Sus scrofa: one gene and its partners. Each later gene encodes a partner of the first gene's protein in a complex. Links are inferred from orthologs where the notes say so. Each region holds a gene or a part of one and is shown on either strand. Other genes may lie near its edges.

Region 1 (4,424 bases):
CACATTGTAGATGTGGTACCTGTGGGCAGACCACGTGGAGCCTGTGCTTCTCTGGCACAACCGCGGGCCGTGGGCCCACAGGTTTGATGGAAAGTAAAATCTCAGGGCAACAGCGAGGCCTCCGATTCCCTCATTGTGTGTCCTTCTGGCCTCGGGGTCCAGCCTGAGGAGCACATGGCTGAGCCCCCCATCCCCCCACCCCTACCCGACCCCCTCCCATCACTTCAGAGCCCCCGGCCAAAGGAGCCAGGGTAGAGGGGGACCAAGGCGGGCTGAGGGGTCTGCCCGGGGCGCCAAGTGGGAGCGTTAGCCCGGCAGCTTCCGCCAGACGTGCGGCTCCCGGGCCGGCCTTGGGCCTCCTTCCCTTTACAGAGCAGCCAAGCCTGACAAATCAGGTCTTTAAACGAGACCACCACTGGCCGGCGCGGAGGCGAAGCAGGAGTCCAAAGAGGAGAGGGGCGGCCTTGCTCGCCCGAGCCGACGGCGGCACCCGGGGTCACGCGGCGTTTTGGGTGAGCGCAGCTGGTGCCCTGTGGTGGGGTGTGGGGTCACATGGGCGCAGGCAGTGTCACAGGCATCTACTCAGTGTAGCGTGTATGGCACAGCAAGCCGTGCTGCCGGCTAACCAGGGTGACACTGCCTGGAGCAGGGCGCAGGTGGCGGACGGCGCAGCCCAGCGGGCAGGGCGGTCAGTGGGGGCTGGCAGAGCGGCGCCGAGGCCCGGCGCCGTGTGGAGGGAAGCCTCTCTTTCACCTTAGGTCCCCTCCATTCATGATGGTCATCACCAGACAGAGGTCGGTCTTCGTTTCGAAGGCGTAGGCCAGAGACACGACGAACCTGCTGTGCACCTTCGCCAGAACCTTCTTCTCCACCATGGCACCCTGGGAAGCGGGGACGCGCCCAGAGTTAGGCGGGGAACTTGCACAAACCGGAAAGAGTCACAGTGAAATCCATGCCAAGGGGGTTGCAGACGCTAGTAACTTAGACACATGCCCCCCACGCCTGGTTCCACAGGCAAGTGGGGCGTCTCGGGCTGAGGACTCGGGCGTCCCGACCCTGCAGCCGGGGCTCGGCCGCCCAGCCTGCAAACGCCATGAGGGTCCCGCCGGCTCTTCCACCCACGTCCCAGCCCTTCCTCCCGCCCAGGCTCTGGACGGCGGAGGCCAGCCAGGGTCCACGACCAGCACCCTCCCTGCCACCTCACACCGGGTCACCCTCCGCATTCACTTTAAACCCCGGGAAGCCTGTTTAACGTGTTTAGTGTGTGCTGCAGGGAGGGTCCTTCTGCAGGACCTGGGAGCTGCCGAGGCCTTCCCGTCGCTGAGTGGGGAGACCCTCGGTGCATCTCACTCTGTAAAATCTCAGTGAGGCTCCCGTGGCAGGCAGAGGAGGCTTAGTGCCAGGGAGGGGCCGCGAGGGCAAATGCTCCACGCAGGGGCCCTGGGGTGCTCGGGGGCGCCACCTGCCCCCAGCACAGGCCGCTCTGAACGGCCGCGGGAACGGGACCCAGGCCCGTGCAGGACATTAAGCAGCTCTGGCTGACCCCGCGGGGATGGAGCCTGACGCGGTGGAGGGCACGAAGCAGAGCAGCCGCCTCACCCCCTCGGGGCCTGGAAGCACAGTGCCGCCCGCCCGGCCCCGTGGAGGCTCCTGCACCAGCCCCAGCTCTTCCTGGCACAAGCCAGGGGACGTTCCAGAAAGTCAGAGTGAAGAAGCTAGAGAACCAGCCCCACAGCCTCCGGACAGTGGCTTTCGTGATGCTGGTGACGAACCGAGAAGGACGAAGAGACGTGGCACGTCAGCCACACCAGCAACGCGGAGGCCGCTCTGCAGGGAGGAAGGCCGCACACCGCCTGTCCCTTCCCCGCCGAGGCTGGTGCTTAAGGGCAGCTGGACGGCTGAGTTGCAGGCTGGGCAGCCAAGCATGGCCTGTGCCCACTGCTCCGGCCCAGGTGCTCAGCCGCAGTACAGACCCGCGATGATGGGGCCCAGGGAACCGAGCCCCACCCAGGGTCAGCCAGCCCAGGGCGCCCCGGACCCCGCCCGTGCCCAGAACGCTGCAGCAGCACACCTGGTACCCCTTCCTCTTCTTCAGCCGCTTCTTGTTCAGCTTTTTGCACGCATACATCTTGCCAGTGGCCTTCATCTGGCAGGCGGACACCTCCCCAAAGCCGCCTCTGCCCAGGACCCTGAAGTCCAGGAACCAGTCCTCACCCACAGGCTGGGCCTCCAGCCACTTCCACTGCAGGAAGCGCAGGAAGTACAGGCTGTCCAGGTACTCCCGGAAGGGCGCCTGGCTCAGATGCGCCAGCGTGGCCTGCAGGAGGGGCTGGAAGAGCCCCTCCTCACGCCCCGAGGGCCCCTCCCTGGCCCGCGCCACCGTCCCCTCGTCCAGGAAGCCGCAGAAGAGCTTGCCCCTGGGGTCCAGGTGGTCGGCCCGGATGGCCTGGGCCTTCTGTGGTCGGAGGTCGTCATCGGCCGTGTCGTAGTCCTCAATGTCCCTCCAGAGCTCCAGGGCCGGCACGTGCCGCCCATCGGCCCTCAGGAACTGCTGGAAGAGCCGCTTGCCGATGGGCTGCTCAGAGCACACGCTCTCGAAGCCCAGGTCCAGGCTGTCCCGAAGGGCCTCGCACTGGGACAGCGGGGGCAGCCTGAGCTTGGCCAGGTACTTCCTGTCCCGGGAGGACAGGGCACTACTCCCGTCGAAGCTGCCCCGGGCAGCGATGAAGGCAGAGTTGGCCACCACCGTCTCCAGCGACCCGAAATCCATCCTAGCGCAGGCCTCCCTCCCCGTCCGGCTCCCGCGCCCCGAGCCGGCCCGACCGGCTGCCCTTGGCCTCTGGCCCGTTCCTGCCCTCTCGGGACAGGAGGGCCGGGGCAGGCCCAGAGCCCGGGGGAGCCCACTGACGCAGCTCAGGCTAAATCCAGCTGGCAGTGGAGGACGCGCAGGCACAGCGGCAAGCAGGTGCCAGAAAAAGACAATCCCTAAGCCGCTCGCAGAGGGATTAGACAGGCCGCCCTGCCCGTGGGGAAGGACACACCCCAGACCCAGACACAACACATGGAAGCCCGGAGCAGCCTGTCCGCCCTGAGGCCCAAGCAGAGGGGCTGGACCATCCATCCATTTCCTCGCAGGGACAGGAGCCCCAGCTCAAGGGAGGGGTCCCAGGAGAAACCTCAGTTTATGAAGACGGCTGGTGGTTTTCCCCACTATGCCTCACTTTTGCCTTTAGAAAAAGAGCAAGTGAGAGAAAAACCATTTAGGAATAGGCTTCCGGGGGTGTCTACAGGTGAGACCACTGGCCAGGGGACTGGTCAGGATGTGAGGACCTGCATTTGTCCCGACCTGACCCTGAGAGCAACTATGTCACAGTGATGGCGCTGACAACCTAAGGTAACCCCAGCACCTGCTGCAGGATCAGCCTCACGGCAGCCCCCTCCCCTCTTGCCACCCCTTGCGGCAGAAGCAGAAGTGCCCAGAGAAGCGTTTGGGTGAAAAAGACAGGGAAGCAGGAGACCCTGGGCTGCACCCAGGCTGAGGTCCCACGCAGAGGGAGGCTGGGGTGAGAGGGGAATGAAGAGGCCAGGGACACACCTGGGACTCATCTGGGACCCACCTCGGACATACCTGGAACACACCCGGGGGCACAGCTGGGGCAAACCTGGGACTCACTTGGGGCCTACCTGGGACACACCTGGGGCACACCTGAGGGACATGTGGGGCACACCTGGGATGCACCTGGGACTCACCTGGGACAAGCTGACACTCACCTGGGACCTACCCGGGACACACCTGAGGCACAACTGGGACACACCTGAGGTACACCTGGGGCACACCTGGGCATGGCCTTGTCCGTCTTGTTCTAGTACCCAGTAGGTATGGAAAAGCATGACATGCATGGAAAAGCACAGGTATGGAAAAGAATGACAAGGAAGTGACAGTGTGGCTACAGCGTAAAGAGGGAGGAAGGGAAGGGAGTGAAGAACGCCCCAAGCAGACAAAGCCAGCCGACCGGCCAGCCCATCACCTCCGGGTGGGAGAAGAGGGTCCAGAGGGCAGGGAGATTCTGCCAGTGGGTGTGGGAGACGGGGACCCTCTGCAGCCGCTGGGGAGGTGGGAATGAGACCTTGCCACTGAGCAGGTGACTCGGTGAGTCCGGGTCACCGTGGGCTGACACCTCAGCCCCTTCCTGCCTTTTCTTTAACTCGTCAGGGCTCAGATGGGACAGTGGCCCCGTGTGCTGCGGGCTGGAGCACCTTCTAAGGCGTTTCTCAGCATGTTCTGAGCCAGCGCTCCCTGTGGTCCCAGGCTGGAGTCACCTGGAGATCCTGCCAAGTCAAGATGGGCTTAGGTGGCCTGGGCGAGGCTGGCGGGCCAGGCAGCAGAGGCGGGGCCTGAGGAGGACGGCCTCCATCAGGTGAAT
Region 2 (3,670 bases), on another chromosome or scaffold:
CCGTTGTGCCACAGCGGGAACTCCCCCAACTACTGAGTTCAGTTCTCTCCTCTTAAATACATGCACTAAGCCCTTCCTCTGTGCCAGAGCCACTGTGCTTGGGGCTAATGTCATTGCAGGGGTCAGACGCAGGGTGTGGCCCTGGAAACTGCTGGTCTGATGGGGACTCAGCTGTAGAAGTGACTCTAGAAGGAAGCAGGTGTCCTTTGCTGCTTAGGTCTATGTTCATAGTCCTACACATAGTGGATCCTCAGCAAAGCTTGGATGAACTGAATTGGGTTTCCGTGGGCCTGTGATCCAGGCCTGTTAGGCAGCCTTAATCCTTTTGCCAGATTAGGATTCAGGCTGGTTCCCTGTGCAGGTCAGGGTGGTGAAATTGGGGTTTTATTTTTTTAGGGCCACAGCTGCGGCATATGGAAGTTCCCAGGCTCGGGGTTGAATCGGAGGTGCAGCTGCCGACCTACCCCACAGCCACAGCAGCGCCAGATATGAGCTGCACAGCTCATGGCAATGCCGGATCCTTAACCCACTGAGTGGGGCCAGGAATCAAACCCACATCCTCAGGGATGCTAGTCGGGTTCGTTTCCACTGAGCCACAACAGGAACTCCTGAAATTTGGGTTTTAAAGTCCCAGCTTGAAACTCCTACCCGCAGAACCTGACTCCGGAGTGAGGCGTTGTCTGCAGATGGGCCATGTGAAAACACAGGTCGCCTGGCAGGCGTGCCAGGCCTGCCTCCTCTAGCACCGCCTCCTACAGTGTCCACCTGGGTCAGTTTGCAGGTTTGCAGGTAGCAGAACAAGGGACTCAGCCTGTGGCAGACACAGAGGGTTGTCAAGAGGTGGGTTAAAGAGCCCCTGAGGTGAGGTGCCAGTGGGACACACGCCTTAAGCAGCCAGGAGACTGTGCTCACAGGGGAGGGGCCATCTGAGTGAAGCAAGGGAGGCGCCGCCCTGCAGATTTTAAGGAGGCTCTCACTCTCGGGCAGGTGAGCACAGGGCTGGCGCCTGCGAAGGCATGCCTCCTTAAATTTTGTGCTGGGCCCCTCCCTTGCTGCACCCTAGTTCTGGCCCCTCTCCACCCTCTTCCCGGACTGTAGAGCTGTAGGGCTCTCGTTGAACATCCTGCTCAGGCCTGTGCCTCGAACCCTGGTAAGAGACTGCCCCCGAGATCACACAGGGGCCAGTACTGGCTCCTCAGGTATGTTGGGGCCATGCAGTGTTTCATTACTTGAGGCACTTGGTTTTCAAAAAGCTCAGTTGCTGGAGTTCCCAGGGTGGCTCAGTGGTTAACAAACCCGACTAGCATCCACGAGGCTTCGGGTTTGATCCCTGGCCTCGCTCAGTGGGTTAAGGATCTGGCATTGCCATGAGCTGTGGTGTAAGCTGCAGATGCGGCTTGGATCCTGCGTTGCTGTGGCTGTGGTGTAGGCTGGAGGCTACAGCTCTGATTAAATCCCTAGCCTGGGAACCTCCACATGCTGCAAGTGCAGGCTAAAAAGACCCAAAAACAAAAACCCTCAATTGCTGCCTTCTCTTCTACCAAATCAGATTATGAGGGACCAGCGGCTCTGTATTCCCACGTGGTCCAGACCCCAGGCCCCACTGTCTCCCAGGCCCTATCACTGAACAGGCTCGCTGTCCATTTCTCCCACGTTCATCATCCAGGCACCTTGGCCATTGAAGTTCAAAGCCCCTGTCTGACGCCCCCTCCTTTCCTGTGTCCTTCTGGAGTTGGACATGGGCATCATGCACCTGCAGCCTCTGAGGCCCAGTCCTGGAATCAGTCACCTCTTTGAGTCGCCAACCGGGCGACTCTGGGCCAGAATAAAAGGCCAGGAAGTCACGTCAGGCCCGTTCCTGGAAGAAGGGGCTCGAGGACACCCCCCTCAGCTTTGCCAGACTCTCTGAGCCCAGCACTAGAGTCTAAGACTTCTCTTCTCCAACCCGCCTTCATGCCAGCCGCCTCCAGATCCCCACCCCCCGGCCCCCGTCTTCCGTCAGAGCCCCACCCCATCAATCTCTCGCAATCTAATTTCAATCTAATCCCACCTGGCGGTGCTTCTTGAGGGGCCCAAACTAATTTCCTAAAGAAAAACCCTGTAAATTTAGATCCCATTTAGTGGAACGTGATGCTAATTCAGCTGCTGACTGACCTGAGCTTTGTCCTATCCCAACTGTGCACAAGGCATTTTGATAAACCAGTAAACCAAAGTGTTTTTTTTTAATGTGCACTCATTTAAAAAGAAAATGGTTTGCTTGCGAAACCGCTAAACTTAGCATTTTCATGCACACCGCTAAGGAGCGGCTGCCTTGACTTTTTTACTATTCCCACGATGTGGGTTAACTCTCCTAACAAAAGAGGTTCCTTCTTCAAAGGCACACCCTCATTTAGAGCCTCCCTTCTCCCCGAGATTGGCAGAGATGGAGTTTTTGTTTTGGCTTTTTGGCCAGGTCTGTGGCATGGAACCTGAGCCACAGCAGTGGCGACTTAACCGCTAGGACACCAGGGGGCTCCAGCGATGGAGTTTTATCAACTGTGGGATATGGGGCCGTTTCCCATTAGCTGGAGGAGGGCCACACACCTGCCCGCTGACCGTTGCGTGCACCGCCCCCACTCCCCGACGGCCTAGACAGCCCTGCAGTGGGAGGTGTCCCCTGTCCTGCCTGGACTTTGAACTTGGAAGGATAAATCTTGGAGCCTCTAGGACGCGGCCAGTGACTGTAAAATCCAAGGCGAGGAAGGAGACGTAACTCACCATCGTCCTTCTTCCCAAAGAACCCCCAGATCTTCTCGGCTCGCTTCTCCGGGGTGTTTTCGTCGTCGGGGAGCTGCTTCATGTCCTCAGGACTGATCATTTTGAAAATAGCCTGCACCGGATCAAGAGGAAGAACTGGTCAGCAGTCCCACGGCGCTGACAGGGACCCCCTATGGCAGAGGTTGAAGTGCAGACGCCCAGGCCCCAGCTGCCCTGCTGAGCCCTCGTTCCTGGGAGTGGGCAGTGGGCATCTGCACTTTGTCTTTTTAGGGCCGCACCCACGGCACATGGAGGTTCCCAGGCTATGGGTCCAATGGGAGCTGTAGCTGCCGGCCTGTGCCACAGCCATAGCGACGCAGGATCCCAGCCACGTCCACGACCTGCACCACAGCTCGAGGCAACGCTAGATCCTTAACCCACGGAGCAGGTCCAGGGATTGAACCCGCATCCTCATGGATCCTAGTCAGATTCGTTACTGCCGAGCCACAACGGGAACTCCCAGGGCATCTGTACTTTTGAGCTGCCCAGAAGGGGTGGGAAATGTGGGGGTGGGGTGAAGAAGGCTTTCAGTTATTTTGTCACTGTTTGAACTTCCTCACCACAGAGACCTATTACTTTCATTTTATTAAAGCAGAAAAATACGACATAAAGAGCTGCCCCAGGGAACTGCTACCTCAAACCCCACAGCCTAGAAATTGTAGCACATCAAATGGCTCCTTCCCAGTCCAGGTCGGACTTGGTTGCCCAGCCAGGTTGACTTAGGGTAATAAGGTCTATGAGGGTAATAAGGATGATTAGGGCTAACCTTTGTTAAGCGTGCCTCTTTCTTAAGCATCCTTACATATGAACTCCTTCATGAGGTGTTATCGGCCCCATTTCACAGATGAAGAAACTGAGTCAACCAACCTGCTGG
Region 3 (4,283 bases), on another chromosome or scaffold:
TACCCCCTCAGATCCTTCCTGTAGGCAGAGACTTGGGCCTTCTTGCCCACTGTGTCCCCCAGAACTGAGCCCCTCCATTTACCCCTGGAACTCATCCTGCTGTCCTGGGATCCGCCCTCATGGCATTTCACATCACATGGCATCCAAGGCCCCTGTCCCAGTCCAGCCTGACCTGACGTCTCAGGCTGTGCCCTGGGTGCTACAGTGTCAGCTAGTCCTATTTCCAGGGCCCACCTGCCCTTCACACAGGAGTGTCCGAGACCACACTTGCTGTGCTCATTGCAGAGACCTGTGCCCAGCACGGGCTTACCACCATCCTCCTGGATGCAGGGTCTTGTCTCGGGAGCCCTGAGACCCTCTGACTCCTCCCTACTTCTGTCACTTCCCCCTCCTTCATCCCTTCTTCCATCTTCACTCCTTCAGTCCATCTTTGGGGACTGTTGAGCCACCTCTCTGTCCCTGAGACCTGCCCACCATGCCTGATAATGCCCCTGGCACTAAGCTCTACCAGAATGGCCCCAGCCCATGTGTGGCCCCAGGCCAGCTGGGCCCTAGGCCTCTGCCAGCCTTTGTCTTTAGTCAATGCTATCCATCCCTACTTGGTGACCTGGCAGAGGGCCTCCTTCCCAAAATGTTGCCTTCCTGGATACTTCCTGCATGTAGACCACCGCCACCCCTGGATGGGGGCTGTTCTTGCCATGGGAGTCCTCCTCCTTCCTCAGGCTTCATGTCCCCAGTGGCCTACACATAGATGTTTGTTGAATGAGTGAGCAAGGGAATTTCAGTTCAATGCAATAAATGCTTATTGAGCTACCGGGAGATGCCGAGCTATGTGTCTGGCATTGGGAAGGTCAAAGCTGGCAGGACCTGGCCCCTGCCCTTTCGAAGCTCATAACCTGGCAGATGGGTGAGGGTCAGTGTCTGGTGACTGGCTGAGCCAGGAAGGAGTAGGTGAGGGGCTGAGAGCAGAATAACCCGAGCCTCTGCCCTCTGAAAGCTCGTGGTGCAGTTGGGAGGAAGATAAGGCTTGCTTGCACTAAGCCAAAAGGAAGTGGCCATGGAGTCAGAGGTCCCAATGCCAGGCCAAGGCCACTGGCTGAGACAGCAGAGATTCCTCAGGGAGAGGAGAGTTGGGCCAGGCTTCCGGCCCTTTCCCAGGGTCCCAAGCATCTCCTCTCCCTGCCCACAGCCTTCCACCTCAAGTCACCTTGGCCCCTCTTGGAAGCCAATTAGGCCCCAGTTGCAGCCGTGGGGATTAATATGATTAATAACGCCCCCAATCTCCCAGGTGCTGATTCAGCCCAGAGCTTAGGGAGGGGAGGTCACTTTATAATGGCCTGGGGGGGGCGGTCAGAGCCCAGAGTCGTCTAGCCGGAGCCCTGCGTGGCCGAGCTCAGGCCTCAGCAGCATCCTTGGGTTGGAGCAGCTGCAAGGCAGCCACAAGGGGCCGCAGCCATGAATGGGACGGAGGGCCCAAACTTCTACGTGCCTTTCTCCAACAAGACGGGCGTGGTGCGCAGCCCCTTTGAGTATCCGCAGTACTACCTGGCTGAGCCATGGCAGTTCTCCATGCTGGCTGCCTACATGTTCATGCTGATTGTGCTTGGCTTCCCCATCAACTTCCTCACGCTCTACGTCACGGTCCAGCACAAGAAGCTGCGCACACCCCTCAACTACATCCTTCTCAACCTGGCAGTGGCTGACCTCTTCATGGTCTTCGGAGGCTTCACCACCACCCTCTACACCTCTCTGCATGGATACTTTGTCTTCGGACCCACAGGATGCAACTTGGAGGGATTCTTTGCCACCCTGGGCGGTATGAGCTGGGATGCCATGGGGGGGGGGGCAGGGGGAAAAGGAGCCAGGAGCATGACAGGAATCTGGGCACAGCCCCAGCCTTAGGGGTAGTGGCTGACAGGCCATTATCCAAAGCCCTCAATCAACAAACACTTCAGTGATCTGAGCCAGGCTGCCATTTGTTGAGGGTGGGACAAGTCAAGGGCCTTGCTAGGGTCACATCGTGGCAACAGCAAAGCTGAGTTTCAAGTCTCTGTAGCCCCTCAGGCCATGTTCCCTTTCTCCCCGGAGGAGCTGTGTGGGGTCAGACCCATGCCAGGCACAAGGATAGAGCTGGGCAGGAGAGACCCCTGCATGGGACTCCCCTCCTGGGCAGGACGAGGCTTCCCAGTCCTCCAGTCTAGACTTTGCCTGCACTGGGCGATGGGCTCAGACCCTACCCCAGCATCTATCAGACTTGGTCACAGCCCACCTCCAGCCTGTCATGGTTGAATGCGGAGCCATCCGTAGGGAGACTTTAGACCCGTGTGGTTATCTGTAGCTTCGGGTGGTACTTTATTTATTTGTCTTTTTAGGTCCACACCAGAGGCATGTGGAAGTTCCCAGGCTAGGGGTAAAAATGGCTGTGGGCTTACACCACAGCCAGAGCAATGCCAGATTCGAGCTATGTTGGCAACCTACACTGCAGCTCATGGCAATGCCAGATCCTTAACCCACTGAGGGAGCCAGGGATTGAACTGGCATCCTTATGGATACTAGTTGAGTTCATTACTACTGAGCCACAATGGGAACTTTTGGGCAGTACTTTTAAAGTATTTTCTTTAATGGAAAAACTGAGTGCCTCAGACCCATTAAGTAGGTGAGAAAACTGGGGTGTGGAGAGAGGAAGACTCAGCTGATGATGTGGCAGGGCAGTGACCAGAGCCCTGGTCTACTGGCTTAGCTCCAGGAATGTCCCACTGGGGACACAAAGCCTGTTAGGCAAGCAGGAGACTCGGGAGGTCGTTACTACAAAACGACCAGGATGATGGGAGAGCCTAGTGCCAGCCACAGGGATGCTCTGCCTCCCGCATATATCCAGGATGTTGCCTCATCCCCATTCCCAGGGATTGTAGCCATCACTGGGTGTTTGTCACCTTCAGTGACACACATCACCCAATCTCAGGCCAGAAGAGTGGCACATATAGGCAGGCACGCCTCTGCCAAACTGCTGCCCTGGAATTCTCACTGGTGTTCCCTCTGACTCTCAGAAATGTCCCATTGTGGTTGGCCAATGCTATGGCCACCTTCTCTCTTGAGTTTCTGGGGTTGGGGGCGGGGTGGGGGGTGTTGTTCAAGGAAGGTGCCTGAATTCCATCATTTCTTACTTCTTCTCTGAGCAAAATTGTATCCAGCTTCCTGGCTCCTAGGCAGGGGTCCCACATGCCCAGGTTGTTTCATTTCCCTGGAAGGGAGGCCTTCCAACCCCAGCTTCCATGAAACAATGCCTCTGCTGTGCCCTTCAGATGTGCAGGGCACATTGCTCTATAAAAACTCCCTTTAGAGCTCCCAGTCCAGCCATGACCCTGTGACCTGATTTTTGTGTCCCTCATGAACCCAGAGCTCTAAATTAACTTCCTAGGACTTACTCTGGACCCCTGGGCCCCTCCACTCAAGGACCTTGCCTTTCTTACCATCCTCTCTCCATGGAATAGGAGCTCTCTGTCCTTAAGCAGCTCCAGGCCTGGGGTGAGCTGACCAACAGCTGACTGCCTTACAGGTGAAATCGCCCTGTGGTCCTTGGTGGTCCTGGCCATTGAACGGTACGTGGTGGTGTGTAAGCCTATGAGCAACTTCCGCTTCGGGGAGAACCACGCCATCATGGGCCTGGCCCTCACCTGGGTCATGGCTCTGGCCTGCGCTGCGCCCCCTCTCGTCGGCTGGTCCAGGTAATGGTACTGAGAAAGGAAGGCAGGGTCCCTGGTGCTCTTCAAAGGGCCCTCCAGCCAGGCGGCATCTGGTTCTAGGCCCCGAGCTGGCAACTGTCATGGGGTTGAGGTTTAGGGTGAGGAAGAGAGGGTTAGCCCCTAATGTTGCTATGGGGCTGGTGCCACCTTCTGAGTCCCCATGTCAAGGAGATTCCAAGACGCCCCAACTGTTCACCTTGGCTGTGCCCCTAATCCTCAACTAAGCCAGGCCAGGTTCCAATCCTCTTTGGTCTAGTGCCTTCTGACCTTAGGTCTCAGCACCTGGGAAGGGCGAACATTCCTTGGGCACGTATGACACTATAGCCCCTGGGAACTGGTCCCGTCCAGCTTCTAGGCCATCAGCTCTAAATGGGACTGAGATTAAGAGGGGGGTTGGGCAGACAGTGGTTTGGGAAGGTGGGCTAGTGACACTGTGGATTTTCCACTGCTTCCAGGAAACTCCCATCTCGCTCCCTGTTCTTCCTCTTGGTCTTTTCGGGGCTAATGTTTTGTCCCTTGCTGAATTTGAGCCCATGAACT

The links.
Region 2: the proteins of GRK1 (region 1) and RCVRN are in contact, whole or in part, in an NMR structure (PDB 2I94), measured with the Bos taurus proteins. The link is inferred for Sus scrofa from reciprocal best matches to the Homo sapiens genes GRK1 and RCVRN. Residues at the interface, in NP_776598.1 of Bos taurus: Phe3, Gly4, Leu6, Glu7, Val9, Val10, Ala11, Asn12, Ser13, Ala14, Phe15, Ile16; in NP_776590.1 of Bos taurus: Lys22, Trp31, Ser34, Phe35, Glu38, Cys39, Phe49, Ile52, Tyr53, Lys55, Phe56, Phe57, Tyr86, Leu90, Thr93, Ser94, Phe188, Glu189.
Region 3: the proteins of GRK1 (region 1) and RHO are in contact, whole or in part, in a cryo-EM structure (PDB 7MT8), measured with the Bos taurus proteins. The link is inferred for Sus scrofa from reciprocal best matches to the Homo sapiens genes GRK1 and RHO. Residues at the interface, in NP_776598.1 of Bos taurus: Leu6, Glu7, Thr8, Val9, Val10, Ser13, Ala14, Ile16, Ala17, Ala18, Arg19, Gly20, Asp23, Ala24, Glu184, Asp185, Trp186, Phe187, Leu188, Asp189, Phe190, Val192, Arg195, Glu200, Gln205, Met206, Lys207, Lys221, Arg222, Thr256; in NP_001014890.1 of Bos taurus: Lys66, Lys67, Arg69, Thr70, Arg135, Val137, Val138, Val139, Lys141, Ser144, Asn145, Phe146, Arg147, Phe148, Glu150, His152, Leu226, Thr229, Val230, Ala233, Gln236, Gln237, Glu239, Thr243, Ala246, Val250, Met257, Ile305, Tyr306, Met309.

What each region holds. Positions count from the first base shown.
Region 1 is NC_010453.5:78,792,123-78,796,546, reverse strand, and holds the start of GRK1 (rhodopsin kinase), read right to left. Parts: upstream 2,878-4,424; 5' UTR 2,771-2,877; coding exon 2,072-2,770; intron 882-2,071; coding exon 754-881; intron 20-753; coding exon 1-19. UniProt on the Homo sapiens protein: Retina-specific kinase involved in the signal turnoff via phosphorylation of rhodopsin (RHO), the G protein- coupled receptor that initiates the phototransduction cascade.
Region 2 is NC_010454.4:54,742,123-54,745,792, forward strand, and holds part of RCVRN (recoverin), read right to left. Parts: exon of another isoform or gene 2,870-3,670; coding exon 2,758-2,869; exon of another isoform or gene 1,667-2,757; intron 812-1,666; exon of another isoform or gene 649-811; intron 1-648. UniProt on the Homo sapiens protein: Acts as a calcium sensor and regulates phototransduction of cone and rod photoreceptor cells. Modulates light sensitivity of cone photoreceptor in dark and dim conditions.
Region 3 is NC_010455.5:68,907,123-68,911,405, forward strand, and holds the start of RHO (rhodopsin), read left to right. Parts: upstream 1-1,455; coding exon 1,456-1,816; intron 1,817-3,556; coding exon 3,557-3,725; intron 3,726-4,283. UniProt on the Homo sapiens protein: Photoreceptor required for image-forming vision at low light intensity. Required for photoreceptor cell viability after birth.